Pelodiscus sinensis: one gene and its partners. The protein of the gene in region 4 interacts with the protein of the main gene of each other region in a pairwise test. Links are inferred from orthologs where the notes say so. Each region holds a gene or a part of one and is shown on either strand. Other genes may lie near its edges.

Region 1 (7,870 bases), on a different chromosome or scaffold from region 4:
AACAAAGGAAATCCGAACGGCAACAAATTCATTTTCAATTAATTTTTATTAGCTATCATTAAACACTATTAATTCACAAAAACGGCAATTAAAGTTCTGGCAGGATCTAATCTTCACAATGTCCAACCAATGGCAAGGAGATGCTGAATCAGAAAGAACTACAATTTGGACTACATTATGTGGCAAATTAGATAGTGAGCAGCATTATATTTAATTGGAATTTGCTAAAGGAAACATTAGCAACATGCACATCTGAAATACAGTATGATGAATCAAGAGGCAAGCTATTTTCCTTCTATAAAAGGACTAAGATTATTTGCTTAACAACTTTATTTGTATTCAGCTTCCTACCTCCCCCACAACAGCACCCATATCCCCTTTTAAAAAAGAACAATAAAAACAAATTAAGGCATCCAATGTAAATGTTGAAAGCAAAGGGGCTAGAAAGGAAAGTCACGCAAAAGTCCAACATAAGTGAAAATTAAAGGCATCTTTAAAACTATTATTTAATTAAAAGAAATTAAATTGGATGTATCTGAGAGGGAAGCAACATAGGGATCATCACAAAGTGTGAACATCGGCTGACTGCAATGGAAGAATTGTTGGAACAGTGGCATGTGAGAACAGATACCTCCCTGAACAAGACCAGAGGCTTACATGCCATAAAGGGCTTTAACAATAATAGTGCCAATTTCAAGTCAGATACTAAAGCATGAAAGATGAGAATACCACCATCATTATATCTCAAGCTATGAGCAATCATGCCATTCCATTTTGACAGAATATGTGTTGACAGCCTCGCAAGGAAGGAAAGAAAATAACCCAGGCTTGTAGTCATAAGGTCATGTGCTCCAGCTATCACAATGTCATTTTAGGGTAAAACTGCAAGCCACACAAAGTCATTAAAACCTATTTCTGTTGGACTTTCCCGTATTACCTTCATTGCAAGTCCCTTTCCCTTCCACATTTTCCACTTGGCAATGAGCAAATTGGGTCTGAAAGCCTCTGTGTGCGTGTGTGTTCACATGGGTGTATGTGTATAGAGAGAGAGAGGTTTTCAGGTAAATTTTGTTCATTACCAAGTAAATACACTAATCCATCTCCATATTTGCGTGAATAATAGCTCCTCCCTAAATAGTTGTGTAAAATGTTTATAAAAAAGAGCTATAAACATGGTTGGATCCAAAAGCAAACTGGAATATTCACTGTGCTCTGTTCCCAAACTTGGTGCAGCTGCTGGCAGAAGCAAGTGAAGACAATTCCCCTAGAAACTGCCAGCAGCTTCATAGCTGTGTGCGTCTTCTTGTAACTAAAAAGAGTTAAGAGATTCTGGCACCATTCCTAGAATGAAGAAGTTATAGAGGGGGAATTTCCTCCCTGAGAACTGTAGGGCTTTTCTAGTGATAGTGAAAATTCAGTTAGGGTGAAGGTTTGGAAGGATTAAAAAAATTTACTTTGAACCTGCTCTAATACCCACTATACCCAATAAAAACAAATCCAATGATTTTAGTGAGTAATGGATCAGGCTCAAAATGTGGGTTCCATTTTAGTATATTAAAAAGAATTCCCTTTCATATTATATTGGCTCTGGACCATTACAACTTCTTATAATAATATCATGCAGGATTAGGAATCATTATCCTTTGAAAGCTTCACATATCTCAGTGAAAATCTAACACACACTTTCACCAAAAGCTGCCTCTCTGAACCATTACTGAGTTTGAAGCTCATTTTAACTTATTTATTCATTTTAGCCTCCAAACCTACACAAAAAAAATGAAAGAAAGTTATATTCATAATATTTATCTACTGAACAATAGCAGCAGCCACCACAACCACCGATACACTTTTCAATAATAATTCCTAATTTAAAGAAAGAGTTTATCAGCACTGTTCAGGGTATTTTTTGACTTTGTGACAGCAATCAATTACGTCTAGAAATGAGTAGTATTGAAAGAATAAATGGCTTTCAGGTCAACTTAATGCTTCATTTTCACTGTGGCTTTTATCTGACTTGACAGGCTTGTATTGTATTAAACTCAGTACCTTTCCAATAAAAACACATGGATAACCATTAGTACCTTTGATAAAAATATTAATATAACTTGTATAACTTCTTAAGATAATTTGATGTTACTGAGTTATCATCTTACTGGCCTCTCTTAAGGCTGTATCTAATACCCAGCCCACACCAAAATTAACGTATTCCCACACAACATTCAGGCAGAAAAAAAGTTTTGACCCTTTCAAGCTTCATTCTCTACCCAGCATGATAACTCCATTCCAGATTAATCATTTTTCTAGTGGCCATCTATTCTTCCTGAATAAACATCCTCCAGTAATGAATTTTCTGCATCCTCTGTAGTCTAGTTTCTGCATGTATTAATCTCACAAAGTCAACATACTTATTCACCTTGGATAATAGTGTCACAAAATGTTTATACATCATGTTATAATACAAGGTGAACCAGCCCCCAATTTGTAGTCCTGCTACTCAAGAGCCAAAACATCCCAGCCTAGAGCTGGTTAGAAAGATCATTAAAGGCAAATCACCATCTCTCATATAATGGTTTATCTTGCTGTTAGTAACTATATATACTTAATCCACGAAGGAAAGCAATCCCATCACAAACAGAACCTCAATTACTGCACATTTGCAAAGTTCCTCCTGGGACTCAAGTTTCCACAATAAATACAAACCCAAACCTCCACTTTCATAATTCACTCAGAGGACCAGGTCCTCAGCTGACAAATAAAACGGATGTAAAATAGAACTCCTCAAAATTATGACCACTAAGGATCTGATCCAATGTATGTGTGCCAAATAAAGACATACATTAGATTCCTTTAATAACTCATTTGGCATTTGTTAACTGAGTGCCTTTAGGAGATACTATCACTCTTTAATGGAGTTTCCTCATACATATATTCTTTGATAGCACCTTTATATTATTATTGTATGTTTTACTCTATCATGCAGGCGCTCAGAATTTAGGATGGGCACCTCCAGCTACATTTTACAAATACGAAGAAATAAGAATAATACAAAAAAACTTTTAAAGAAAGGAATTTAATTAAAGGATACAAATGGTTACAATCACTTACATCACTTATAATTTCAGTGCATCTTCTGGCCAGTTCCATGTTTCTGTCCTCAATAACAGGCTTAAGGAACACCTATCAAAAAAAAAAAAAAGAAAGCATTTCAATATCACTAACCTAAAACAGTGAAAAAAGAAGCTCCTTTTCAGTTATCACTGCCACCACCTTTTCTTCTTCTTCCTCCTCTTCACTTTCATCCTCCTTGAAATCCTGAATGAGAGGCATTCTTTTTTAATATTTAAAAAATATAGTTAAAAATGTAAAAGGCCACTGCTACAGCAAACTGTTTATGTTCTACTACTTTTCTATGATGTAGGCTCCTCTTGTGTCCTTCACTAAGTTTAACCTTACCAAGGCTTCTTCCTTATTTAGACAACACTTGAAAGTCTTTATCAGAAAAATTCCATATGAGTGACCTAGAAGACATTACAGATGGCCTTGCTAACCGAGCTAGTGCTTTCTTACAGATAAAGTATAAGTAAACAATGCCTAAATGTCTAAGACACATTTAATTAAAGCACTGTAATTCAGTAACTATGCAAGGTAAATAATTTAATGAAATTAGCTGGCTCAAAAGGGTGACATGAATCCTAATATTATGGGGAAACCATTCAGTTCTAGCTTTTAAGATATCTCAGACCCCAAATCAGCTGTCATAAAACTTCTTCACTCAGTCTAAATAAAGTTTGTACAGAAAAGGAACATATACCCTTACTTTTCTAATACAGAGAGTTTGGATAATTCACAAATGCTTTATTAAATGTAATTTTAGAATGTAATATATGTTATTTTTCATGCTCCTAACTGAAAAGGTTCCTTTCTGTAAGGATGAAATCTAAAATGTTCCTTTCAATACTCTTAAAATGCTTCCGGCCTCATATCAGCTAAAGTAATATTCATACATACACACATATCAACACTCTACAGAAGATAATATACCATGATCATACATATACAGGCAGTCCCCGAGTTACGCGGATCCGACTTACGTCTCCCCCAGCAGACCAGGGAGACGCGGAGCAAAGCCGCGGAGCTCGCGGGCGGGACCGCGGCGCGTCTCGGCGGTCCCGCCACCCGCATCTCCCTGGTCTGCTGGGGGGGGGGGGGGAGGGGAAACTAGCTGCCCCTCCCCCGGTCTTCCTGGAATCAGCCGCTGATCAGTTTCAGCAGCGGCTAACTTGGGGACACCTGGGGTAGAGCAGCTGGGGTGCTGCTGGGTTGATCCCCGCAGTGCTGAGGTGCGGCGCTGTGGGGACCTACCCGGCAGCGCCCCAGCTGCTCTGAGCATAGATCTATTGGAATGGAAGCTGCCTTACTACTAGAAGAAGTTATTTCACCTGCTGCTCTGTACGAATGTATTGTAAGGTTCAAAGTAAAAAAGCTAGCTGGATCGACAATCATTCTAAATGTGATTTTATTTTCCTAATGCTACCACATCACATCACAACTTCATACTGCATCCCACAAAGAGATTCCACTGCAGTGAAGTCCACATCCAGGCTTCATCTCACAGGTCTATGGTAGTAGATTTCTATGTGTTCTTGGAGCCGATATCCACATAGAAAACATAAGGAATGTGTAGTGTTTGAATGTAAACTTCCCAAAATACCAAAATGTAATTGTGGCTAACATATGCCTCCCATTTGTTGTTTGGAACAAGAGCACTTCATTAGAAAAAGACATGAAAACAAACAGAACATTTGTGCCTGAGCAAAAAGTATAAGGAGGTTTAGAGTTTTTTAATATTTGAGAAAAACAGACAACTCTCAACCTACTGTAACCCACAGACAGAAGGCACTTATGCATTAATGATAGACAAAGATTTCAAATGACTTATCTTGCTGTTTTAATAAATAAGCTCCTACATTTTGAGAGTGACAGTCATTGTGGGCACCCAAATTGACACCCATAAGGCCTGATTTCCTGAGTTGTTGTGCCGCCACACTTCCCATTGACTTCTTTAGGAGCTGTAGGTACATACCGCATCTCTAAAAATTGGGCCCCAAAATCTCCAACAACAACAATTGGACAATTTTTGCTACAATGGTGAGGTCAAGCACTCACAACAACTGGTCACTTCTGCAAATGTCAGGCATAATAAATGTCTTTCTGGGCAACTATAGTAATTGCTACATGATGTGGCAATTCGCTTCTCTGGCATACAGAGCACTTGTTATAGACAACACAAATGCAGTACAGCGATGAGTTGTGGACTTCTGGTGTTGATACCAAGGTGAAATGTTGAAAAACGCAAATATCTCTGCATTATAAATAAAAGGCTCTGCACTTAAAATTTCCTTGTTCCTCCCCCAAATTCAATATATTTGGAAAGGAAAGATGTCAGAATAATTAAGGGAGAATGGAGGAGACTTTAATAAGCATAAAAGTAATTGCTACATTTTGCAAAACTTCAGCATGGGCTAAGCTGCTATTTTTCCACTGAAAGTCAACTGGTCAAAAATTACAAATTCTGAACTGCTTGGATTTTTAGATTACTTAAAAGATTAACACTACAAATAATGGATATTCAGAGTACTGATGCAACAGTAATTACATCTTAATTGTAATTTTCCTGCAATGTTTTCTCCATAGCAAGATCAGCTTTTTCCTTACCATAATCTAAGTTTTTATTTCTGAAAGAGCAGGATCAGCTATATTTTTTATAGGCCTCCTCCTCCCTCCAGCCCACAGTTTATTCAAATATGCTGGACCTTTCAGCAGACTTCCATTAGCTACACATCTAGAGAATTGAGGGTTTCATAACTAATCATATTGAGGAAAGAAATGCCAAAATTACAATTTCTAAGGGAGTGGAAGGGAAATCATGCCACAACACACCACCACAGCTATAATACAATATAGAACGATTCGGTGTGGCAGTCTCCAGGGGACAGAAGGCACTAAGCAGACACTATCAGATGCCGGCCGTCCACCAAAAACACAGGGCTCTGCTGGATAATATGTCATCCAACAAAGTGACAGAGAAGCAACTCTTTTGGCAATAAGCTCACTGAAATACAGTCCCGAAAGAGATTTGTTAAGAAAAACTAAGACTACATAGTTTAAAATGCAGGGGGTAGGAGTGTTAGTTTCCCTGGTGCCTGTCTATACACATGTACCCACCCGTGCCTCACCTTCTTCCTCCACCCCCTCTGCAAGGCCCACAACCATGACTTCCTCCATGACTTGCTCTCCCAAACCTTCACTTATTTTCATTTGACTGGGGATAAAGGGTTTGCAGTGTGGGAGGGGGCTCTGGGCTGAGCCTGGAGAAGGGTTTTGGATGGAGGATGGGGTACTGGCTCTGGAAGGGAATTTTGGTGAAGCAGGGGCTCGGGGCTAGGGGACAGGATTGGGGTGCAGAAGTGGTACGGACTCTGGAAGAGAGTTTAGATGTGGAAGGAAGTTCAGGGCTCAAGCGCGGGTTGGGTGCAGGAGAGGGTGAGGGTGCAGGCTCTGGCCAGGCGTTTACCTAATGGGGCTGATCAACAGTGCAGTGGGGCCAAGGAAAGCTTCCAGCTTGCCCTGTCCCCACATCACTCTCCAAAGCAGCCTTTCTGCAACCCCTAGGTAAGGGAGCTTGGTGGCTCTGCACGCTGCCCCTGCTTGAAGGCATTGCCCCCACAACTCCCGTTGGCTGTTGCTCCCAGAGCCATCACTTGGGGTAGGGGCAGTGCAGAGGCCCCCTGATCCCACCCCAAGGCAGCAGAGAGGGACACGCCAGCCACTTCTGAGAAGGTGGGACAGCTATCATTTATGTTGCTCTTATTTTTACTCTAGTAAAAAACAAACTAGAGGTACTACCATAAAATATAGCCTGAATTTACCCTAACACTGTTTACATCACTAAAATGATCATAAATGTTTTCCCACAGTTTAACCACAAAAACATGCACTTACCTTGTGCTCTAGTAAGAAAACACTTTCCAGTATAAATACTGCAATCCACAGCCAGCCTTTCCAGCATAAAATCATCATAGATTTAGTACAACCCAATTGCACAAGGATTTAAAAAGCAAGCAAAAAAAAAAAAAACCCTGACGCTTACTCTTACAGATGTATTATGTAGTGTGTACCACAATGTACTAAAGGAGAAGAAAAACAGATAAATTGAGTAATCAAGAACTTCAATTATTAGCATCAGTGTGGTATGACGCTACTTTGCCCTCTGTCAATTCTGATCTGCTGAAACATTTCATAGTGGGTTTGGGGTTTTTTACTAGTTATTTTGCAAAATGTCATCTGGAGTACAGGGTGTCCCCGCTATAAGTCGCTCGGGTATACATCCATTCTGCACTAAAGTCGTTGATGCCTGTAGGAACTAATGCATTTCCCACTTTAAGTTGTTTTGCTATAAGTTCACGTTTTTTGGAACATATAGGCAAACAACACAGGAATGCAGGAGCAAGATTAGAAAGGCAAAGGCACAAAATGAGCTCAAACTAGCTACGGGAATAAAGGGAAACAAGAAGACTTTTTATAAATACATTAGAAGCAAGAGGAAGACCAAGGACAGGTTAGGCCCACCGGTCAGTGAGGAGGGAGAAACAGTAACAGGAAACTTGGAAATGGCAGCGATGCTTAATGATTTCTTTGTTTTGGTCTTCACCAAGAAGTCTGAAGGAATGCCTAACATAGTGAATGCAAGTGGGAAGGGGGGAGGTTTAGAACATAAAAGAAAAAAAGAACAAGTTAAAAATCACTTAGAAATGTTAGATGCCTGCAAGTCACCAGGGCCTGATGAAATACATCCTAGAATACTCAAGGA
Region 2 (8,050 bases), on a different chromosome or scaffold from region 4:
GATGCCAATGCAGATATCTGTGGTTAATTTTTGCTCATTCAGATGTAGATACAAAGTTTTGTATCTGTGCAGGGCTCTAGTAATCTAATCTAACAGCGTGACAGTCTCAGATTCTTAAATGCATAAGATTTAAAATCATCCAAATGTAGACATTTCCCCACAATATAAAGTAACCGATGATGGAGGGAAAGTGAAATAGGGTCAATAGCTGAACTAGGATTCCAGGTATTTTAGAGAGTCCAAATTTAGGCCTCATTTTGTAATCACAATCTATGAATTACTATGAAACCCACCAAAAACAAAAGTAAGCAAGAAACTAACAGAGGCAGGTAAGTTAAATAATTAAAAGCGATACTGTGCATTGCTCAGCAAAGTACGTTTCAGTTACCCCAAGAGTATTTAGAAGCAAGAAAGACAATCTAGGAAAACTGAAGGTTAGTGGAGAACTAAAGACCTGGGTTAAAGTCAGGTTATGTTGTTCTCTAAAGAGAATGGAGAGCCAAATAAGAGGAGAATTGTCTTTTTTAAGCCCAAGGAAGAATGCCAGAGACTGAAAGCCAGGAAACCCTGACACCAGCACTTAATAACTTGGTGATTTTGGACAAGTCATTTAATCTGTGCCAATTTATCAATGGGAACAAGACTGACCAGCACAGTATTGTGAAGAGTAATTAGGTAACGTTTGCCAAGTGTTGAAGATGCAAGGTGTGAGAGGGTTGCTTATTACTACAGTACCACACAACATGTTATGCAATACATGTGCACAACACTGCAACTGTTCCATATATGGAAGGGAAAGGCTGCAGGGAGTTAGGATTCTCTCATTAGAGGACTCAAAGATGAGTCACTTTCAGTAAGAACAAAGGCCCCAAGGACTGATACTGGCAAAGAGAATGAGAAATTGAACACGAAACAATTAAAGTTCTGCTGAACAACTGAATAGGAGAAATCCAGTACACATTTATGGGAGCCATGTTTTTCCTGGCTGGCCTTCTCCCCAAGACATTAACAATCTAGCTTTTTTCTTATCCAATAACGTTTATATAGTAGAAAGAAAATTCAATCAACTGACTGACAGACTGTCTGCAGTACTCAAATAGACAATCTGATGTTTCTGGAGCTGTGTCTAGAAAACTAAGGGTTCTGGAAAATCCAAATATGCTTGATCAGATCCAGCATATTTTAATTTTTGCTTCATCATTAATCCAAAGAACCAATAATCTATGTCAGCCACAACAAGAATGGCATTCTGATCAATAAGAGATCAGAATGCTGCCTGAGAACAATTTAGGACTTTGAACAAAAACAAAACAGAGGCTACTTGTAAAGTGACTAACAACTATAAACCAGTCCAGAAGCACGGCTTTGTGTAAGCTTAAAAACATGTCTCCTCTCTCTCTCTCTCCAACTGAAGCTGGTCCAGTAAGAGATATTATCTCACCCCCCTTTTCTTTCCAACAACTAGAACACAATTACTACCAGCAATGGCAGATGCCTAGATTACTCAAATCTTATTATTAAAATCTCCAATGTTATTATCACCCTGACTGCAGGCTCAATAAACTCCACATAAAACACACAATTCCATTAGCACAATCTGGATATTGTTATGTGACATCTACATTATATCAAAACCATTTGCTGTCTGCATGAATTTTCCCACACACACAATAAACATTATACGAGCTGTATCTGTGGGCAGGACATCAAGAAGTGCTATATACTTTGTGTATTTATCAATGTGAAAGACTTATAAAGATGTAGCCAGCACTAATCCTTGTACAGTTAGCACCTACTTTTCTTTCTAGGTCCTTACTTGGCCCCATCACCAGAGACCTAGAGTGCCTAAAATTTCTTCAAAAAAATATAACACACAGTACAGCACACTAGTGAGGGTGGTTAACGGTTTCTGATTTAGCCTGAAGAATATTCTGATCTACAAACTCTGTTGACAGTGACAGCATTTAACACTTGAAGCACTAGCTTGTACCACAGAAAGGGGAAAAAATCATGACTTATAAGAACCCTGTATGTCAATACAAGATTATAGGACACAAATATTTTAACGATAATGTAGTTTGATACGAGTTCAATCTGATTTGTAGTATTTTTACAAGCCAAAATAAATTAGTAGAAAAGGAGGGGAAAATATCTGGAACTGCAACAGAGAGACTGAAACAAAGCCCTGTTTGTTCTGCATGAAGGTCATAACCTTCCTATTTTCAAGCAGCTCAGGAGCTGTCTACCGCAGCTTTGGACAACCAAGGAAAGCTACAGGAAAGGCTTTCTGGTTATTGGAGACTCTCTGCTTTTTCCTTACAAAGGGCTATCCCCTCCCTCCTGTCCACCCTACCCCCTAAACATCAGGGCACGGATCTTCATCTCAGACACAGATCACACAGCTCTCCCGCAGGGAACACCACAGAACTCTATGCTCAACTCCATAGCCACTTCCATTGCAAGCAGGTGGACATCCCTGGGGAATGGGAGCCGGAACCCTCCAGGAATTGCACGGGTCCCTACGCCAGCCACAGGAAACCCCCCCAAAACAGTTTCAGGATTCAAGGGGCTACCACCTACAGCCACAGGAAACTAGACCCAACCTCCAACCTCCTCCCCAACACACACAGGAGGGGGCCCCACGAGGAACACAGGAACCTGCAGACCCACCCTAAGCAGAAGACGGAGGGGGTCCCCCCTGGAGTCAGAAGGGGATGAGACTAGCTCCAGGAGCCCCCCAGGAATGGAGCGGGTCCCTCCAGACCAAGGGGAGGGACACAACGAGCTCGAGGAACACCTAGGATGGAGGGGGCCCCCCCAAGGCAATAAGGGGGCACAACCACCCACGGGAGTGCCTAGGGAGTGAGGGGGGATCCCCAGCGAGCCACCTGCACCTCAGCGTATGGGGAGCCCAGCCCTGATCTCCCCCATGTGGGGGGATGAGGCGCCCGGCCCTTTGGCAGGGAAACCCCCCCCCCCCAAGGGGCTCCAGCCCCACAGGCGCGGGGGAGGCGGCTCACCGGACTCTGGGTGTCCGGCCGCATCTCCACCAGCGCGCACACGCCTCGCGCCCTGCTCATGTCTCCGCCACAGCCCCGAGTCAACAGCGACTGAGCGACGCGCGAGCCCGTCCGCGCCTCATATATGGCCACGCCCCCTCTCCGCCCTCAGGCCACGCCCCGACTGGCGGGCTCCGGCCTTCGGTTGAGCCGGTTTCGCGCTCCCTCCCTCCTCCCCCCCCTGCACGCGCCGCCTCCTAGTGAGCCTAGGGCGCGCGCTGAAGGGGCTGCGGCTGGGGCGGCGCGCGGTGTCCCAGAGGAGTAGGGTTGCTGGAAGCAGGCTGGTCGGGGTCTTGCACGTAAACGATTGCACCGCGATTGGGATCCTGGTGTGGAAATTAATGCAAAGTAGGGCGGGATGTTAATTAATGCAAAATAGGGCGGGATCTCGTATGTTAATACAAAGAGGTAGGGGTCTTGGATGGGAATAAATGCACAGCAGGTCTTCCAGGTAGACTAGTGTACAGCGAGGTGTGATTTTGCATATGCAAAGAAGCGCCCCATGGGGCAGCGGTCTTGCATATAAATAAATGCAGCCGGGTAGGGTCTTGCATGTAAATTACTGTGTAGAGAGGTGGGTTATTCTGTGCAAACCAATGGATGGGGCGGGATCATGTATCCACACTCAGTATATGGACAGGCCAGCTTTATGCTTGTAGCTGTGCCGATAATGTCTGGCTCTAGTTGTTAATTATGTATTCCTTAATAGCACAAGTCAATTAAGGTATGGTATTTTAGTTCCTCCTCCCCGCTGCAAAATTGCACTGGAGATAATATCTGTAAATTAATGCATGTCATTTAGTTGGTAAATACTGACTGAGCTCTTTTAAATTTTTATCTAATTATTTGCATTGGAGGATATTACTTGGAAAAATTCATGGCTATTATTTATATTTTCTAAGATATTTCTCCTGGGGGTAACTAATTCACATTTACACATAATATATTTTTAATATTTACATTTGATTCTACTGGTTTTAATTGGAATGCAAAAAATGAAAAATTTCAGATGTTTTCAATTTGTGTCAAACAATTGTATGAAAAAGCAATGCAGAATTTTTAATTGTGGTTTCCAGTTATTTGTACTGGGAGGTATATTACATACAAGTTAATAGATTTTTACTCTTTTAAATTGAATATATTGCATATAATGCATATCTTAATTTTATTGCTATTTTCAAAATTTAGGGTGCAGATATTGTTTCTAAATTAATTCTGCAGTCATTTGTACCCAGAACATTACATGCATGATGCATGCAATCCATGAACCTGAACAATCTTGCATTTCTTTGACATGACTTATAATTGTTTTCCAGTCACTTGCTTTGGAGGGGTATTAAAGTAGCTTTACCTGCTGCAGCCCAAAACAAGAAGAAAGGAAGGGAAATTGTGTCCTGCAGAAGTATGTCAAAGAGCAGTTTAATGGCAAAACTGGTTAAAGAAGATATAGAAGTCAGCTGTCTTTACTTCTGAATGGCATGTTACACTGGAGTTGCTGCCTAATTAGCTCATACTCAAAGATCATTCTGGAGTTTCGCTTACGTATCTTCAGAGAAATCTAATCATTTGATCTGCCATATATTAACATCATGCTTCTCTAGCACCTTTTCAACCAAGGATATTTATTAATTAACACTCACAGCCACTCCCTTGAGGAAGGTGCAAGTGTCATTGACATTTAATACAAGTGAAACTGAGGCACACAGGTTGTATTCTCTGTCAACCAGCAAGACAGTGGCAGGGTCAAGAACAGAACTGATAACTCCTCTGTTTTTAATTTTCTGTCCAGCATTAGCAGGATCATTTTCTATCCTCCTCCAGCAAAAGAACCTATGTGTCCTGCCTCCTATTCTCATCCAGCATGAAGAGAACCCAGGAGTCCTAACACCTGCTCCTTTGCTCTAGCCACTAGACCAGACTTGCCCTGAAAGCCTTGCACCCACACCAATGCTCTAACCACTCAGTCCCATTTTCCCTCCTGTTTTCTCCACCATTGCTCCCAAGGCCTGCAGTTCTCCTTCAAGCCAGGTTCGATGACCTTTCAAGGTCCCTTCCACTTCTAGGAGATAGGCAATCTCCATTATAATAATTGTGAAGAAGAAGGAGTTAATTGTTGCACTGAATCTGTCCCATTTGCCCTGGTTGGTTGTGGTCCTTTTCTCTGCAGGTGTTGGGTGAGTAACCATCCAACTCTCTCTCCTCTGTTTGTGGTTCAGCAAGGGAGGACTTGGAAAGAGATCTAGCGAGCTGCTTGAGGGATTGTTTGGGGCGCGGCAATGAAGTTTCCAGGAGCTGCTGTGAGAAGCAGACTGTCTCTTTCTGAGAGCTGAGCGGAAGAAAGAAGCTATTCGGGGTTTTATGTTCGTGCCAGCTCACTGCTGCGTGTGAGAACAGAACTGGGGAAGAGAGAGAGAGCCTCACAAAGCCACATGAGGAGTGGGGCAAGAGCTCCCCTGCCCTATTTTGCTTTTTTTAACAGAGCCTGTAGCCCCAATGTGCAGCAGGGAGACACTAACCCCTCCTATAAAAGCATGACTGGGGTGGAAAAAGTGAATAAGGAAAAGTTATTTACTTATTCCCACAATGTAAGAACTAGGGGTCACCAAATGAAATTAACAGGGAGCAGGTTTAAAACAAACAAAAGGAAGTATTTCTTCACTCAGCACACAATTAACCTGTGGAACTCCTTGCCAGAGTATGTGGTGAAGGCTAGAACTTTAACAGGGTTCAAAAAAGAGCTAAATAGATTCATGGAGGTTAGGTCCATCAATGGCTATTAGCCAGGATGGGTAGGGATGGTATCCCTAGCCTCTTTTTGTCTGGAAATTGGTGACAGGAGAGGGATCATGTGAGGATTATCTGTTGTGTTCCCTCCCTCTGGGGTATCTGGCATTGCTACTGTCAGGAGACAGGATGCTGGGCTGGCTGGACCATTGGTCTGACCCAGTATGGCTGTTATGTTCTCCATGCTACATCTTTCTGAGTATGGGCACACACATTCTTCCATTCATCCATATAGATCCATGTTGTCCAACATGCTAGCCACATGTGGCTATCTGGCCAGTTGAGTGTGGCTAGTTCACTATAGCAGTTGCCACTATAGTGCCTTCAGAACTGGTTGGACACCATAGATCTAGATAGTCACGGGGCCGGGGGGGGGAGCTTTTGTACTTAAGCATGTCAAAGTCTTCCATGTATTGATCCTCAGAAATCCCTTAGAGGGTAATGCTATTGTCCCCTTTGTGTGGATGGAGACCTGAGGGCACAGAAAGAGTTTTGGGGACATTTTCATGAACTCTGAAGTCCCTTAGAGTCCATCCATGATGCAGTACATACACCCCTCCACTCCATGGCAGTGAGTCTCCGAACCCAGAACAGCTGATTCAGTCTTGTGGGGCTAAAAACAGCAGCATAGACATTTGGGCTCAAGCTGCACCCTCCTTCCTTGCCAGGTTTCGGAGTCTGGCCCCCAGCTTGAGTGAGCACAGATCTAGGGCTGTCAATGCAGCCAGGCCAGGATCCCGTCTGCCCCTGCTTGGACTGCGCCAGGGCTGGGGCAGCCATGCAGAATTCTGCTCATACCGGGGCTTGGTAGGGCAGGAGCTACCGCTTGCCCCTGTCCCAGGCTGCAGGACTGGGGCTGCCAGGTCTACCATGGGGACCGCTGCAGACCCACCTGCTGCCCTGTCCTGGTTCCTGCTACCGGGCCCAGTTAACCAGTTACCTACCATGTAAGCCCGGGGTCAGCAACCTTTTCAAACCAAAGAGCCAAACTACATCAACATTCAGAACAAGTGGTCAACAAAGAGCCAGTACAAGAATGCCCATGTGCATGACTGAAGATATACAACTTAATATTATTGATTAATAATAGCATACATGAAACATTGTCCTCACAGACTTTATTTAATGGGACTTCCACTACTGCATCTTTTTACAGGTGCCGCAGCGGGGAGAGGGGCTGCCGCCAGCCCTTCCTGTAGCCAGATGTGCCTGCCTTAGAATTGGGGCTGGGGACAGGACCCTGCAGCCAAATGGAGGCTGGGCCGCAGCCCAGGCTGGACCAAGCTGTTGCAGCAGTCAGTGGCGGCAGGTTTGTATAATTTTTGGTGGTGCCCAGAATGGGTCTAGTCCTCCCCCACCTGCCCTGTAAGCCGATTTACATTATTTAATAAAATATATAAATGGACTGGAAACCGTAAGTGTTTAACAGTTTCCCTTTATTGAACAATATCACTATCATAAGAAAAAATTATTTAACTAAAAATATCAACGTTATTGATACTCTTTTGAATATGGAAACAACCAAGCGCTCTTTGACCAATAACCTTCAAAAGCAAATACTTTCTAAAATTAAAACAACTATAGCCCCTTCGTTTGCAATGTTCTTCAGGCCCCCACCCTTCTGGGAGCTGTAGGAGGTGTTTTTTCCATATATAACAGATTTTGGAACAATATTTTGTATAAAATTTATTTCTCAGTCGTTGGAGAAAATTGGTTTTACTACGTTTTTATTTATTGCAATAAATGACAAAGATTGAGTAGGGTCTGAGTGCAGACATTCTCATCTATCCTTTTTTTATAAAAAACCAACGAAACGTTCCCTGAGTATAAGTTAGCTAATTTGGCACCTTTTTTCTTACATAAGAGCTTTGCTATGGCTTGTAGATTGCTATCAAAGTGCATGTTGGAATAAGATTGAAATATTTCAATTAAAAACTCTTTGTTCATTTTTTCACTTCTCGTAAATATTTTGACCTCCCATGTTTCTGCTGTTGGGTGAATTGTATTATCTACAGCATCTGAAGTCATCACCTGGAGCATGTGAAACCAATATGTAGGGCCTTTTAAAGCTCAGTTAAAATTGATATTTGCACAGAATTTAAGAGGACACTGTTGTTTAATGAGTAGTTACTATCTCAAACATTTACTGAAAACATTTCTCCTAACCTGCAGTTACAGGCTGGACCTCCCTGGTCCAGCACCCTTGG
Region 3 (7,334 bases), on a different chromosome or scaffold from region 4:
TTTGTAAGAATAAAGAAAGATGCCCAGACTCTATATTAACAGACATCTAAGTGCCTAGACAAGTAACAGACATACACATTATTTATTCTAAGGCCTTAGCCACACTAGAAAGGAGCTGCTGGTATATTTCTACTTCCTAGTCAAGAGACCAGTTGCTACCAGTTTCCCAAACAAAATAAGCTAAACAAGTGCTTATGCTGGTATATCTGCCTAGGGCTCCCCCCCCCCCCCCCCCCCGTAGTGTTAACTCACAGCTATACCAGTAGATCCGGCCTTTAAGGGATTTAGCTTTCTTTGCTCCTTGGGGCAAAGTATTTAGCACATAAGTAGCATAAACAATACATCTGCAAGATGTAATAGATACTATGCAACAGAACACTAACAATAAAGACAACAGAAAATGCATTTGTGATTGTTACGAAGACAGAACATACCTAGGAAAGGTGCCTGCAAATCCACAGGTAAATTAATAATGAACCATTTAAAATTCAATTAGATTTAATTGTTGGTTAAGTAGTGAAACCAGTTCAGCAGTGAAACCAGAACACATTCAATGTTACTACAGTAGGACAGGGGAAAAATATTACCAAGAAAGAGCTCAGTTCTTGCTTTCAAGAAATTAAATAGATTTTCTAAGAAGCAATCTGAATTTCAGTTTTATTACATATAAATTATGATGACTGGTGTAGATAATGCTGCAGATTACAACGTTAGCATAATTAGCCAAGATCAGTTCTGAAAACAGAATTATCCCCATTGATTTATTTTTGAAAGAAGGACTATTATGAGAAGCAAAAGGGAAGCTGGTTAAGAAGTCCTTTGACAAGACAAACTATAAAACCCTGTATCTCTTCTAACATCACATTTGAACAACAGATCTGGCCAGGAGAGCCATTTGTTCATCAGTCCCTTCTAGATGGCCCTTTGGTGGTGATGACATAACAGCATTCAGTCTATTTTGCTAATGGCCTTTGCAGCAGGAGGGTATATCATCACATCAGAGGCAGAGGCTTAGGGACAGTGACTTATGACATCTGCTTAATAGCTCATCGTAGTAATGACATCAGGGTCAGAAATCCCTTTAATGGGAGGGGACAGGCAGCAGGCACGATGGCATAATTGAGCCACAAGTCCCCTTGCAGAGAAGGTGGGTGGTACCAGGCTGGGCCTATCTTGGTGGTACCAGGCTTGGTCCATCTGGGCAAGGAGTTCCTTCACAGAGGAGGTGCATGGTACCAGACTTGGTGACACAACAGTGTACTGAGTCCCTTTGCAGAGAGAGAGAGAGGGGAGCAGGCTTAAGACAACCAGGCCAGGCATCTCTTGGCAAGGACAGGCAGAACACAGACGAGCTGGCCCCTGGGTAGCACTGCTCTCCGTGGCATGGAGAGGCACATCATCTGGGCCCCGAGTCTCTTCCCAGGATGGTGGGGTGCATTAGCCAGCAACCCCCAGGGGTCCCTGCCCCGCTAGCAGGCCAGGTCGAAGTCATCCCGCTCCTGGTTGTAGTTCAGCACGTGCTGGCGGATGCGGGAGGAGTCGGTCCAGGTGATGAAATCCTCCATGGCCCGGGTCACCAGGCAGGCGGGGTCGGTCACCACCTCGGGCCCCACCCGCACGTGGCCCTGCTCGATGAAGGTGACGGCGTCGCGCAGGCTCTGGGCCATGCGCAGGCGGAGCAGCAGGCTGGGCAGGCGGCGGCGGCAGAAGGAGCTGGCCGAGACCCGGTCGCACTGCTCCAGCGAGCGCTTGGAGCTCACCAGCCCCAGCCCGTGGAGCTTCGCCAGCAGCGCGGCGGTGCAGCGGGCCCGGAAAGCGGCGTCGGCCTCGCCCAGGTCGCGGAGGCGGCGCGCCAGCTCGCGCACGGCGCGGCTCAGCTGGTTGTAGCGGGTGTAGTCCTCGCGCCGCTGCAGGCGGTAGCGCCGCAGCACGCGCAGCTCGGCCAGGTTCCCCGAGGCCGCCTCCCAGCCCACCAGGTCCAGCCGCTTGAGCAGCTTCTGCTCGTGGAACTTCAGCTTCCGCACCATCCTGCCGCCGGGGAGGCTACGAGCGCGAGCGGCCCTTAGCAACCACGAGTGGGGGGGGGGGGAACCGGAACTTCCGGCTCTCCGAGCAAGGGGGGGCGGGGCTTGCTGCCCTTCTCTCTCATTGGCCAGAAAGAAGCGGAGCCTGCCGCCGGTCACGTTTTCAATAGGGGGAAAGAAGAGCGGCGGCTTGGGGAGTGACGCATGACGGGATAGAGAGGGACTGCCAGGCGGGTGGTGGTTTCGGTGCGCATGCGCCAAGCTGGCTGGCTGGTCGCGAGCCTCTGCACAGAGTGGTGCTGCGCCAGGGCGCTTGCATGGGCGTGGCCCCCGAGGCTCAGGATCGCCCCTGAACTGGGGAGCCTGTGCTGGTGCTCCAGCCCCCCCCTTGCTGCTCCACCATGGGGCTCCAGTACTCAAAATGTGCCAGGCTGGGTCCCCCTAGCTCTGGTGTGCAGGGGGAATGTGGGGAGTGTCTTTCTCCTTAGCTGGGGGCTATGCCAGTGAAGGGTTTTTGTCTGCAGCCCCTGACTGTTTTTTCTGTGCGTCAGTGGCTCCCCACTCAAAAAAGGATCCCCACTCCTGCTTTACAGCCACCAGCCCAGTGCTGATGTGGCCTCCCAAGTTGTGTATTAAAGTTGTGTATACACCCACTAAACAGTTGTGTATTAAAGTTGTGTATACACCCACTAAACAGTTGTGTATTAAAGTTGTGTATACACCCACTAAACAGTTGTGTATTAAAGTTGTGTATACACCCACTAAACAGTTGTGTATTAAAGGCAAATACAAGGCAGCCTTGCACCATGAAAGCAAAGTTAAAGCAACTCGGGGGAGGGGCGGTGAGACATAGCAAGCTACCAGACCCACTGTTTGGCTACTACAGTGTCCAGAAACATCTGACAGAATTGAAGAAAAAAGCATTTTTTAACCAACATGAGAGATTCCAAATACAAGTATCTTCTCTAGTGCTGGGTTTCAGTTTTCCGAATATGTGGCACAAATAACTTCTGGACTATTGTAATCAGCTATCCTGGGATACTTTTTGCTACCCTTTTGTGTTTAGGGGTATGCCTGTCTTAGGTGACTCAACCGGCCTCTTTACTGACTCAAGTATAACAAGTTTAAAGGCTCAAAAATGTCTGAGAGAACATACTTTGTGCTTCTGTCATGCTTTTCATACAAGGTTCTTATGCAACTTTACAAATCATGAAGTGTCTCACACACTGCTGTGAATTAGGGAAACAGTAGTATTCCCATTTTTCAGATGAGGACTGAGGGCTCTTCTTACCATAGTGGCACAGATGCACTGCTGTAGCATTTCAGTGTGGACCCTACCTATATCATCAGGAGGGTTTCACCCATTGGGCAGATAATCCACCTCTCCAAGAATTCTTCTGTTGACCTAGTGCTTGTCTACATGCGGACTTAGGTCAGCTTAACTATTCCTAGGCCTGCTGACAAAAGCAATTCTGGGCCCCAGGACCAAACAATCAATGTCCCCCCCCTCCTTTTCCTTCAGCTGGAGAGAGAGTGTGTGTGGGGAGGGTGCAATATATATATATAGGGATGAATTCTGCCTTACCTATCAATAGGGGGCCCTGGCAACTAATGTAAAATATGCCAAGGAAATGCTCTAAATTATGCTGGAGACTGGACTGGGTCCCACTATATCCCAGAATACAGGAGGCGCAACGCAGAATGGACTGCAATGACCATCAGTGCAACTATGATCTGATGGCTTTTTGGTGGGTGTGCTATGTGAAAAGAGTTGATGCTCTCAGTTCTGGTTGTAGTGAAGCAAGAATTCGCATCACTAAAACCAGCTTCCTAGTTGATTCTCTTGGCAGTCTTAGCAAGGTTTGAATGGTCAAGGAGACTGACTGGAGGCTTTGAATCATTTGCTAATCCAGATGTCACCCTTAAAAACAAAACTAAATATCTGTTGCTTTTGAATACTTGTTGTTTATATAGTGTTACATTATTTGCTTTGGCAAAGGTCATGAAGCTGAAACACTGAGAAGTTGCATGAATAGAAGATGCAGTCTTCAAAATTTCATTTACTTTTCCATTTCCGTTACTGGTTGCTCTGGACTAGCATAGGGAAATTGGGACAAATTCAATTAGCAGGTAAGAAATGTATCCTTCAGTGGCGCAGTTATTATTTATTTGTAGGAGGCTAATAAAAAAAAGGGGGGGGGGGGAGAATGTGATTTTGCACCTGTTACCTGAAAGCTTTTAGTAAATGTGCAGGCTGTCAGTTTATTATGTATCCCATTAATTAACTCCCACACATGAAGTGTCCTAAAGAAGCAGTTGCAGAATTGAGACCTCTTCGTGCAGGCCTGGTCTATGTACAGCCCACAGGCTGGATCTGGTCCACTAAGCCACCTGATCTGGCCCATGGACACAGTGTGGAGCTCCAGGCAGGCTCCCTAGCTTGCGCCACAGCCCAAAAGTGGTGGTAGGTCCGTTTCTCTTTAAAAACTGAATGGGGGAAGGCTTCAGACACTGCTCTCGCCCCCAGCACAATCCCATTGGCTGGCTTCTGGCCATACACTGGCCAGTGGGAGCTGCCTGTTTGAATAATGGGCAGCACACAAAGCACCATGCCTCCCCCCTCTCCTTCAGCTCAGTTATTCACACAAGCATGTGTAGGTGCAGGTGCAGGGCAGGCAGGCTGGTTGATCTACTGGCTGATAAGTCTCCTGGCCAGAACCTGCCTCTCACACCCCAGACCCTCTCTTCCCCAACCCTCTGCCCCCCCACTCAACATATCCAAACCCTCTGACCCTCTCCTGCATCCATATCCCCTCCCAGATCTGGCATCCCAATCCCCTTTCCCAGATCACAATCCCCTCCTACCCTAGGTCACTACCCAAACTCCTGCACCCCAGTCCCCTCCCCTAGATCACAAACCAAACCCCTGCACCCCAGTCCTCTGCCCTAGGTCACAACTGCCTCCTTCACCCAAACTCCCTCCTGCACCCCAATACCTTACCCCAAGCTCCCTTCTGCACCCAACCTCCATCCCAGACCCTCTACCTCCTCCATTAATATCATGGAAGTGTGCGGCCCTCGACCACTTTCCAAAATCTTGGAGTGGTCCCCTGTCAAAAATTATTGCCCACCCCTGCGGTAAAGGAAGGGATAGCATTTTTTCTAGTCGATCCCAGTGTGCGTTATAAACATTACCAACTCTATCAACCGGTGCACTCTGCGCCAACTAATTGTTATGCACCTTAGAAGGATTAATCTGGAGGTAGAATAAGTTAGGTCACCACCAGGCTTTTTCCTTTGGGCTTTGCTGAAGGCTGGCCTGCAGAGTGTCTGAGATCACAGGAGACATATTCAGAAGCCCTGTTAATACTGATCCACAGTCCTGCTGCCATGTCACATATCAAGCAGGTTTGCAGGAATTTCAGCAGGAACTTCTCCTCCTGGCCAACAGGGACAGCTATAGTGGAGGAATTTCAGACCTCCAAACGGCCTCTCCCCTTGCTCTTGCAGCTCGCCTGTGACAGGATGCAAACCAACATGGAGCACTTGGAAGGAGGAGGTGTTCTTGTTGGCAAGGGAGCCGGGAGGAGTAGGGAGGAGCAAAGAGGAAGGGGTCAAGGGGAAGCTAGCTGGGAAAAGGAGGTCAGTCTTGAGACACAGGATGGGTGTTGGGTTGAAAGACTGCGAGCACCTTGGGGGTTAGAATAAAGTAGGAGCTGAAAGGACAGGCTAGGGTGGAGAACACTAATGTAGACAAGCAAAACATGGGGAGGTAGCAAATGCTAGAAGAGGGGAGGATGAGTCAAACTCCTCAATGCAGGCTACTTCAGGAACTGCTAATCCTGCCTCATCAAAGGTCTACTATCACCACTCATCTCCACAGCAATCCCAGGCTTCTGCCAGCTTCCTAGTCCTTGTGTCACTCTAATAATCGCTGCCCCTGGCTCTCTTACTCCTCCCTTCATCATTCTCCTCCCTCCCAGCTATCTGTGGCTCCTCCACACAACACTCTCCCAGGTGAAATTCTGTGGCTTGAGATACACAGGAGATCATAATGCTCCTTTCTGGCTTTAAAATCTATGAATCCTCTGCCTGCTTCTCATCACTCTTGACTGTCAGCTCAGCCCTGAATCTCAAAGTCCTGAATCTGTAATGCTGTGATGTCCTCTTCAGCAGGTATGCAAAGGAGGTGGTAGTCACCTGTTCTGTGTTTTACCCCCAGGTTTGTGTGTTAATGCACAGAAGGATATGGAGAGCAAGAACTCTGCAAAGATGTATAGAATTCCTCGGGGGAAGGGGCCTTACTCTGTTGGCTGCACGGATCTGATGACTGGTCACACAACTCAGGTATGAAAGCCAAAAGGTCCTCTCACTCCTTTATTTTTACATAAGCCATGAGTCCAACATGGCAGCCTTCATCATATTATGAGATACTTATTAAATGGAAGCTTCCCCTGGTTCTGATAAGTGAAAATTCACAGGTGCAGAGGAGCAGGACAAAGCCTGCTTCAGCTCTGAGGCATTTTATTTTTTGTGTACAAAATATTTCATTTTCATTAATTCTGTAAGAGTAATGACATAAGATGACTACTGTGGCACAAGTATCACTGGAAGTGTAAGGCTGTAATGACAGAAATATACTGTAAATTGATGGATTTTGTCAGATACTAGGATGCAGGTTTTGTAAACTGGATTTGACAGATAAATATGTCCAGATACTGTATATACACCATCCATCTCTAAGTGCAATTTAAGAGCCTGATCCAGCTTTCCCAGCTAAGGCAATCTTCCTTAGTCCAGTTCCTCAAAGTTATTTAGGCTTGTAACTTCCACTGAATTCATATAGCTCACCATAGTGAATTCTTTGAAATGAGGCAGGAAAACTCCTCCTTACCGTTCCATTTGGCACAGTGAAAATGGGGAATGTGTTAGGTCATGGCTAATTAACTTTAGAAGCCTTGGGGGCCACAATGATACTCACAGCACATGCTGACGGCTGTAGCTTAAGTGTAGTTGCATATACATGCAAAAATATATATGCAAATATATGCAAATAGCTTCTTTTACACATATGGGCACGAATACAAAGATTAAGGCAAGACTACACATCAGGCCCCATTTAAGTCAGTTCTGCTGATATTAATAAAATGCAATATTCACCCAATTTCCACCCATATGACAGCACTTTTAATGAGCAATGACAGAAGACCATTATATTGACTCACCATTGTGGAGCGTGTTCCCAGTGGAGGCCATGTTCAAAGGATCCCACCTTCAAGCCGCATGTTGAGCCCCATGTAAACTGAAACC
Region 4 (7,942 bases):
TGCTATCACTAGGGCCACAAACAAGTTCTCCAAGTTGTAAAGTACCTGTGAGATCAAGATAATTTGCCTTAGTTGTTATTTTGGTAGATCCCTACAAATTCACAGATATCTGCATTCATGGATAGGGGTAGCTGCAGATCATTTTTGCAGATATGGATGCTGGTACACATTTTGTATCTAGAGCCCTGCAAATTAACTACTTTATATTTGCTGATCATTTCTGCATATCCCTGCAGGGCTGTGCGTGTTGAAATAATCCTCACCCACCCTCCCCTACCATAGCCCCAGAGAACTCTCTCATATCCAACTGAAGGGCAGGTTAGGGAAGAAGGGTCATCAGCATAGACCACAAGATGCTTCCCCCCTTCCCCAGGTCAGTCCATAAGGATGCTGAAGAGCAGGTTACCAAATTTTAAGCCAAAAAATGGCCTTATTATTGTGACCTGCATAACAGACCATCCTCCCTCACACAGTGATCCTGCTTCTGTTGGAGCTAAAGCATGTCATTTTGAAAGATATCCAGTCTTCATTTAAAAACTAAGTGATAGCAAACGCACTATGCCCTTGGTAAACTGTTCAAATAGTTAATCACTAGCCATTGAATCTTCTTATGCCTGTACCTGCTTGTTTCAAGAAACTGCCATTAGAATCTTTTCCTGTGTAGGTACTTGAAGATCACAGCCTAGTCTCCACATGATCACACTTTATAATGGAGCTGGTCTTTAGAGAGATGGAGTATGGGACATCAGCTGCTTCATGCAGATACGTTAGGGTCATTGCCAGCAGCTGTTCCCATCTCCCTGACCCCAGAGCAGCCTCCTTCCCCCTCCTTCCAATACACATACATTTATCTAGGCCAAAGCTTCTTTCTCCTCACAGCAGCTTTCCACCTGCAGCTGCCCCTGCCTGTCCCAAGTTCTGCTTAAAAAGCAGCAGGAAGGCATCTCTTCTGTTTGTCCACCAGTCACCCTATTAGAAGGAAGGGAGTATGGAGCTGCCATGGATCGAAGCCTTCCTAGCATGCCTTTAGACTGATCCACCTCCTCTATGGTCTCCCCACAGTTCTACTATGGTGTACAATTACTGAGGGAATGCCACTTAGGCAGGCCTGAGCCCGATTTAGTTATCAAGCCTCCCACAAAGGAAGAGATGTTCTGACATCTACAATAATCAGAAGATTCCACACAGCTGTAGAGCAGGGCTATTGAACATGTAGCCTGCACTGTGGTTTGGGTTTACATGGGGCTCAACACACAGCCGGTGGTTGGAATCCTTTTAACATGCCTTCCACTGGGAACACGCGCCATAGTGGCGAGATGTCTCCCAGGAGGGGTAAGCATAGAAAGATGCAAACGGATGGGCTGGCTGGAACAGACAGGTACAGGGTGTCAGTGTTTCTAGCCCCCAGGGAGGAGGTGCAGGGAGCACTGGGGCATTTTGGGAAAGAAGCTATTTGCATATATATTTGCATGTATATGCAACCATGCTTAAGTTGCATTCCTCAGCATGTGCTGTGAGTACCATTGGGGCCCCCAGGGCATCCAAAGTTGAGTAGCCCTGGGCTAGAGGAAGGTTGCACCAAAGCCAGAAATTGAGATTTAGAGCCTTTCATTGGCTATAGCTGCACTGGTTACATGAAAGCAATCTCTTAAGGCCATCACAGATTGCTCTATTTTCGATGTAAGTCCTGACCTAAGCCATACTTACTGGGTGACATACCTGGCTGGGTTGATTTAGTTGGAATTGGTCCTGCCTTGCTTGGGTAGGGGGGTGGACTTTATGACCTCCTGAAGTCTCTTCCAGCTCTATGATTCTATGAAAGGGAACCAACCAATTCTCAGTCTCAGGTGTGTGACCCCAGGACCTGAACTTCACTGGCCAATCTTCACTGTACCCCACCCAGGAGCAGAGAATGGAAAGCAAAGGCAGGGACCTACCCCAATGTTCTCCAAAATGATTCCTTCCCTAGGGAGGATCCCAGCTCAGAGCAAGCAGGCAGTATTTGGGTGGGAGGGGGCTTTTGTTTCATAATCCAGTAACTCTGGCATGAAGTCACCCACCTCCTCCAAATGAAAAATGAAGGGGATGTGCTATTAAAATATGAAGTGAAAGAAGCTGATTTACTTCAGTTTTTTTTTGGGGGGGGGGTGTTCTTTTTTCCCCCAGTTAAACAGAGTCACATGTGTTTCCACCCCATCAAACTCTGGTTAATCCTGCAAAGTTTGCTTGGATAGCAAAAAAACAAACACACCACGCACAAACAAACAAAAAAACCCACCCTGCGTCCCTGCAACAGCAAAGTCCTTTCTTTTTCAAGCAACTGGTGTTTCTCCACTCAATCTCCACCCCACCCCCACCCATTCCTTTGCCTAATGACTCCTACTTCCCCTTCCCCACCAGAAAGTTCATTTCCAGGCATGTAAATTGTAGTCAGGGATTGGACCGGGGAAAGGGGAACTTTCAAAGCCAGGCCTGGAGTGAATCTGTAGCAGTCACATAACTGCACACCCGCGTCTCCCCGTTCCTCGCTACACAGCACGGCAAGAAAGAAACATGCAGACATATTGCAAGCGCCAGACAGTCACAAATTTGCAGGCACTCACCTCCCGTCTCCTCAGATCTCCTCCCCGGCAGGGCAGAGGAGACATGAAGGAGTCTCGAAAAGTTTCGGATTCTTTCCCCACCCAAACATCTGGAAAAAGGCTCTAGGGGTCTCACTCACACTGCAGCGTCTCGACTCGGCAGCGCGCCCTCCCCGCCCCCGCGGGCTGCTAGTTTTACAAAGGGAAGGAGGCGATTTCTTAGGTATTTCATTTCCACGGGGCGGCTGGGGGCACTTACCCGCCAGCCCAGGGTTGGCAACTTAGTCAGGCTTTCAAAAGTATGAGGCTCCCCCGGAAAAGGAGACAGAGACGCCAAGTCCATAAAGTTAACGCTAACTAGAGCGGCCCAAGCTGTGCCACCAGCACCGACCGCGCACACAAGAGCAGGTTCAGCCTCGCAGCCCCAGGACGTGGGGCAGGAAATTAGAGGGAGGGGAGCTTTCCTGCTGCCAAAAAACCGCAGTTAGTTTTTGAGCATAAAGTTGCAATAAAACTAGGAGGCAACGAGCTTCAGCCGGGACTTTTGCCCAAAGGAAGCGGGAGGAGAGGGGACTCACCTCTGGGGAGGAGCAGGCTGGGTCTCTTGGACTAAAAGTTTGTAGCTGCCTGTAAAGTCTCTAGTGCTGCTAGCACGCAAGCCCAGCCCCACTCTGCCCTCCCAGCGCCTGGGCGTGCCGCGCTCTGCCCCCTGCACAGCGATCAGAACCAGCTTCGGTTGCTTGTCTGCCAAATCGGGAGGGGGAAGGACTTGGAGGAGGGGGGACTACAGAGCCCAGGACTTCCTAGCATCTCGCAAAAAGGCCTCGCCCAAGCAAAGCTGTGTGACCATAAAAGGAGAGAGGCTGCGCGAACAGCTGAGCTCACTCACCAGGGAATGTGGCAATGAGGTAAGAGGAGGAGGAGGATGAATACACTAGACAGGACTGTTGAGAGACGAGTGGGGGAGAACAGCAACGCTCTCCCTCTTACAACCAGCTCTCGTTGCCCTTCCCCCTGTGTTGTGAGGGGAGGGAGGTGTCAGCTTTCCCTCCTATCGCTGCTATGGGAGGCCTGTATTTCATACCCTCCCTGCTTTCCTTCCACTCCTGGATTCCCTATTTCCCCCGAGATTTGCCGGCCTTGCGGCTCAGTCTTGATTCCCAGCCCCTTCCACTCCACTCCTGTCTTCCCTTCAGCTTAGGCAAAGCCCCTCAGTTAGGCGCCCCCGCACGCTTGTGTTTTATCTCTTGCCCCAGCGCTGGGTTGCCTCCGCCTTCCCCAACTTTTTCAGCAACTGGTGTTTCCAGGCTTAACCTCCACCCCATTCCTTAACCTGGTGACCCCCCACCAGTGACTTCATTTCCAGTCTCAACCACTGCACGTAAGCAGAGGCCCGGCAGCTCTTGTGAGTCAGGAGGCAGGGTCCCTCTGGCCCCTTCCCTAGCCCCTCCCCAAGCAACCAGCTGCAAGAGCATCTGACTCTGACTTTTCCAATCCTACAGACGCTGTTAAAAAACAAACCAGCAATACTGCAAGGAATGTAGTTCCTCATGTATTCAGAACCAGACAGGAGGTGGGGGCACCTGAACAACCCACTTAGCTCCCTGGGCACAGCCTCCTCCAGACCCAAGTGTCCTGGCACAGCTCTGTTGATGCCCCTTATCCTTAGATAGCCATGTCACTGGCTATTCTAGTCTTGTGCTTTGCACATTGTACTGCTGACCTGCAAGATCCACATTGTTCCCAAACCATTCCAGCATTATCTATTAGGTTTTGTTTTCAGTCTGAACATGGATGGTGTGAGTGCTCAATGGTGCACCTCACCCAGAGGGTCTGGTCCCTGCACGAAGGAGTTTACTATTGAAATTCTCCATCTTTGGTTTTCTTTTATTCTCTTTCCCTGGGTCCTTTTTTGCAGGGCAGCCTCCCTAAGCTTATTTGTTCCAAGTCTGGAGCCAAGGGGGAATTCCTGTTCTTTGCATAAACACCATGCTCTCTCCTTGAAATCTGGCAGTAATACTGGGCTTTCTGCCCCCTATTGTTGCTAAATTTCCAAGGGATTAATCTTTGTCATTTAATCTTTGCAATGCTCAGAGAATTTAGGATTTTTTTACATTGAGGTATTTATCTAGCAGCAACATTGGTGTAACTACCACAGAGCATGCCTCTAGTATCACATGGGGCTTGCACTGGTGAAGCTGGTCTGACCTGAGAGACACTAGTTCAAATCCCAGTTTATGCTGATACAGTGTGTCTGAAGTTGAACTAGAGATCTGTACTGATGCAGCTATGTTGATGTAGCTACATCTGAATCTGGAAACCCTAGAAGAAACAAACCCTTAATTGTATACTAGGACCCCTCCTGCTTTCTACGCTCACCAACCTCCTCCGCCTTCCCAGAACACCTGTGAGGGGGGAGGCCGTGCAGCTCTCTCTTGTTCACTGGTGCTCCCCTGGTCCCTGGGGGGAGGGAGGGAAGAGGCTGTGGGGCTCTTGCCCCCCTGAACACCAGGTAGGGGGGCGAGGCCATGCAGCTCCTGCCCATCCTAGGAACACCAGGAAGAGAGGAGGCTACAGGGCTTCTGCCCTGCCCCGCCCCACCCCCCTACCCTCCCCCCAGGACTGAGGAAGCCACATGGCTCCGGCCCTGCCCCCCGGAGCACTGGGGAGGCCACATGGCTCCTGCTCCACTCCCCCCCCCCCCTTGGAGCACTGAGGAGGCTGCATGGTTGCTTGCCCCAGTACTGGGGAGGCCGTGTGATTCCTGCCTGTCCCCCAGAACACCAGGGAGTCAGGGAGGTAGGAAGGACTCCGGGCGGCAGGATGCAGAGTGATGTGCTGATGTTGCTCTGTTATCCTTCAGGAAACGTGTTTTTTATATAGAGAGATCTCTTGTGAAACGTTATGGAGCCTTGAGCAAATCGCTACACTTCTGTATGCCTCAATTTTCCTGTCTGTGAAATGGGACTAACCATATTGACTTATTTCATATGCAAGTGATTGAATTTTGTTGTTATGATGCAATAAATGCAGACATGTCAGGAATCCCAGTTACAATCTGGTTGTCCCCAGACACAGTTTGGCTACGTCTACACTGGCCCCTTTTCTGAAAGGGGCATGCTAATTTTCAACTTCAGAATAGGGAAATCCGCGGGGGATTTAAATATCCCCCGCGGGATTTAAATAAAGATGTCTGCCGCTTTTTTCCGGCTTGGGGAAAAGCCGGAAAAAAGCATCTAGACTGGCCCGATCCTCCGGAATAAAGCCCTATTCAAAGTAGGAATAAGAGATCCTCCGGAATAGGGCTTTATTCCGGAGGATCGGGCCAGTCTAGACGCTTTTTTCCGGCTTTTCCCCAAGCCGGAAAAAAGCAGCGGACATCTTTATTTAAATCCCGCGGGGGATATTTAAATCCCCCGCGGATTTCCCTATTCTGAAATTGAAAATTAGCATGCCCCTTTCGGAAAAGGGGCCAGTGTAGACGTAGCCTTCATGTACCACATGATTTTGTAGGATGTATGAACTGGAGTCGTGCTGTGCTGGAACATCACATGGCTTTTGCATTATTTGGATCATACCTATGATACCAAAAGTTTCAACTTAGATCTCCTAACACTCTTATATCTAGTATGGATGGACAATCTGTGCTTCATGTTGGGGTATTGTGGTCAGGCCACATCCTTACACACACTATTCCCTCTTAAACACAGTGCCCCAAAAGGAAAAGCACACCAATTTAGAGAATCTGTCCACTTCACCAACCATCTGCAGGCTTATGTCACTGGGCCTGGGAAAGCACCACACACTGGCATCAGTCTGGACTCTGAGAAAACAGTCCACCCTGCTGAGACAGTCTTGGGCTGTGGTAGTTTCTAACAAAAGCCATTACAAAAGGGTCTCATGAAACACATAATTGTTTCAGAGATTTCCTGTCAGCTACTTGGGTTGGCACTAGACAGACCTAGCTATGGCAACAGAGTTCCAGCCCCAGCTGCTCTGACTGCAAAAGCATAGACCTTAGTGTGGTCTAGTAGTCGGTACAATAGGGCACTGGCCAAAGGCTCGGGAAATATGAATTCTATTACTGGCTTTGCTGGTAACCGATTTTAAGCATAATACTTTCCTTTTGTCTTCCACCCTTTATCTCTTATGCTTAGACTCAGCTCTTCGGGGCCAGGAGGACTGCCTTGGACTATGTACCATACTTAGCACAATGGGGCCATAATCTCTTGGTTCTCAACCCCGTACTGGGATATAAGTAATCTGTATACAGGCAGTCCCCGGGTTACGTACAAGATAGGGACTGTAGGTTTGTTCTTAAGTTGAATTTGTATGTAAGTCGGAACTGGCTCCAGGTTCAGCCGCTGCTGAAACTGATCAGCGGCTGACTACAGGAAGCCCTAGGCAGAGTTGCTCTGCCCCCTGCTTCCTGGAATTAGCCGCTGATCAGTTTCAACAGCGGCTGAATCTGGACTCCTGGGACAGAACAGCTGGGGCACTGCCGGGTAGGTCCCCGCAGGACCAACCCGGCAGCACCCCAGCTGCTCTACCCCAGGCATCCCGCAACAAAAGCCTGGTCTGCTGGGGGGGGGGTGCACTAGCTGCGCCCCCTCGCCTCCAGCAGACCAGGGAGACCCGAGCAAAGCCGCGGAGGCGCAGAGGTCACGCCACCTCTGCGGCTTTGCTCCTGTCTCCCTGCTGTGCTGGGGGACTCTTCCCCCCGCCCCAGCACAGCAGGGAGACAGGAGCAAAGCCACAGAGGCGGGGGACCCCGCCGCCTCTGCGGCTTTGCTCGGGTCTCCCTGCTATGCTGGGGAGTCCCCCCCAGTACACCAGGGAGACCCGGAGCAGCTTTTCTCGCCCTGGTGGCGGGACGGCTGCGCTCTGGGTGGTCCCGCCGCCCGCGAGCTCCGGGGCGAGAAAAGCCCCGTTCGTAAGTGCGGATCCGACATAAGTCGGATCCGCGTAAGTCGGGGACTGCCTGTAATACGATTCCAGGAATGTTGAGCCTAAAATGTTTATTGAGTCCCTGTGAAGTTATAGAAGCAACTACAGGCATAGTTGAGATTTCCCTTTGTTCAGAATATAGACAACGCCAATCATTACTGGGTTTTGGAGTCTCTTATCTTATTTTTAAATTAGCCATTTTGCCTTTATGAATTACATCTGTGCAGTGTACATTGCAGTAAGATATGTTTCTATGCCATGTTGAATGTCCTATGCCATTTTTGTTTGCGATGTTTTTGTAGCCATGTTGGTCCTGGATATTAGAGAAACAAAGTGGGTGAGGTAATAACTTTTATCGGATCAACTTCCATTAGTAAGAAAGACAAGCTTTGGAGCTTACACAGAACTCTTTT

The links.
Region 1: the proteins of ZYX (region 4) and NEBL interact in a two-hybrid assay, tested with the Homo sapiens proteins (2 studies listed by BioGRID and IntAct). The link is inferred for Pelodiscus sinensis from reciprocal best matches to the Homo sapiens genes ZYX and NEBL.
Region 2: the proteins of ZYX (region 4) and TUFT1 interact in binary tests that used the Homo sapiens proteins (3 or more experiments, as listed by UniProt). The link is inferred for Pelodiscus sinensis from reciprocal best matches to the Homo sapiens genes ZYX and TUFT1.
Region 3: the proteins of ZYX (region 4) and IMP3 interact in binary tests that used the Homo sapiens proteins (3 or more experiments, as listed by UniProt). The link is inferred for Pelodiscus sinensis from reciprocal best matches to the Homo sapiens genes ZYX and IMP3.

What each region holds. Positions count from the first base shown.
Region 1 is NC_134712.1:221,699,038-221,706,907, forward strand, and holds the start of NEBL (nebulette), read right to left. Parts: upstream 3,551-7,870; 5' UTR 3,328-3,550; coding exon 3,268-3,327; intron 3,178-3,267; coding exon 3,106-3,177; intron 1-3,105. UniProt on the Homo sapiens protein: Binds to actin and plays an important role in the assembly of the Z-disk. May functionally link sarcomeric actin to the desmin intermediate filaments in the heart muscle sarcomeres.
Region 2 is NC_134734.1:14,990,619-14,998,668, forward strand, and holds the start of TUFT1 (tuftelin), read right to left. Parts: upstream 3,178-8,050; 5' UTR 3,081-3,177; coding exon 3,021-3,080; intron 1-3,020. UniProt on the Homo sapiens protein: Involved in the structural organization of the epidermis. Involved in the mineralization and structural organization of enamel.
Region 3 is NC_134713.1:12,402,372-12,409,705, reverse strand, and holds IMP3 (U3 small nucleolar ribonucleoprotein IMP3), read right to left. Parts: upstream 2,093-7,334; 5' UTR 2,028-2,092; coding exon 1,470-2,027; 3' UTR 641-1,469; downstream 1-640. Other genes in the region: PLA2G7 (platelet-activating factor acetylhydrolase), read left to right, coding at 4,064-4,154, 6,247-6,371. UniProt on the Homo sapiens protein: Component of the 60-80S U3 small nucleolar ribonucleoprotein (U3 snoRNP). Required for the early cleavages during pre-18S ribosomal RNA processing. Part of the small subunit (SSU) processome, first precursor of the small eukaryotic ribosomal subunit.
Region 4 is NC_134711.1:137,760,478-137,768,419, reverse strand, and holds the start of ZYX (zyxin), read right to left. Parts: upstream 3,596-7,942; 5' UTR 3,472-3,595; intron 3,297-3,471; exon of another isoform or gene 3,161-3,296; intron 3,009-3,160; exon of another isoform or gene 2,842-3,008; intron 2,757-2,841; exon of another isoform or gene 2,604-2,756; intron 1,814-2,603; exon of another isoform or gene 1,720-1,813; intron 1-1,719. UniProt on the Homo sapiens protein: Adhesion plaque protein. Binds alpha-actinin and the CRP protein. Important for targeting TES and ENA/VASP family members to focal adhesions and for the formation of actin-rich structures.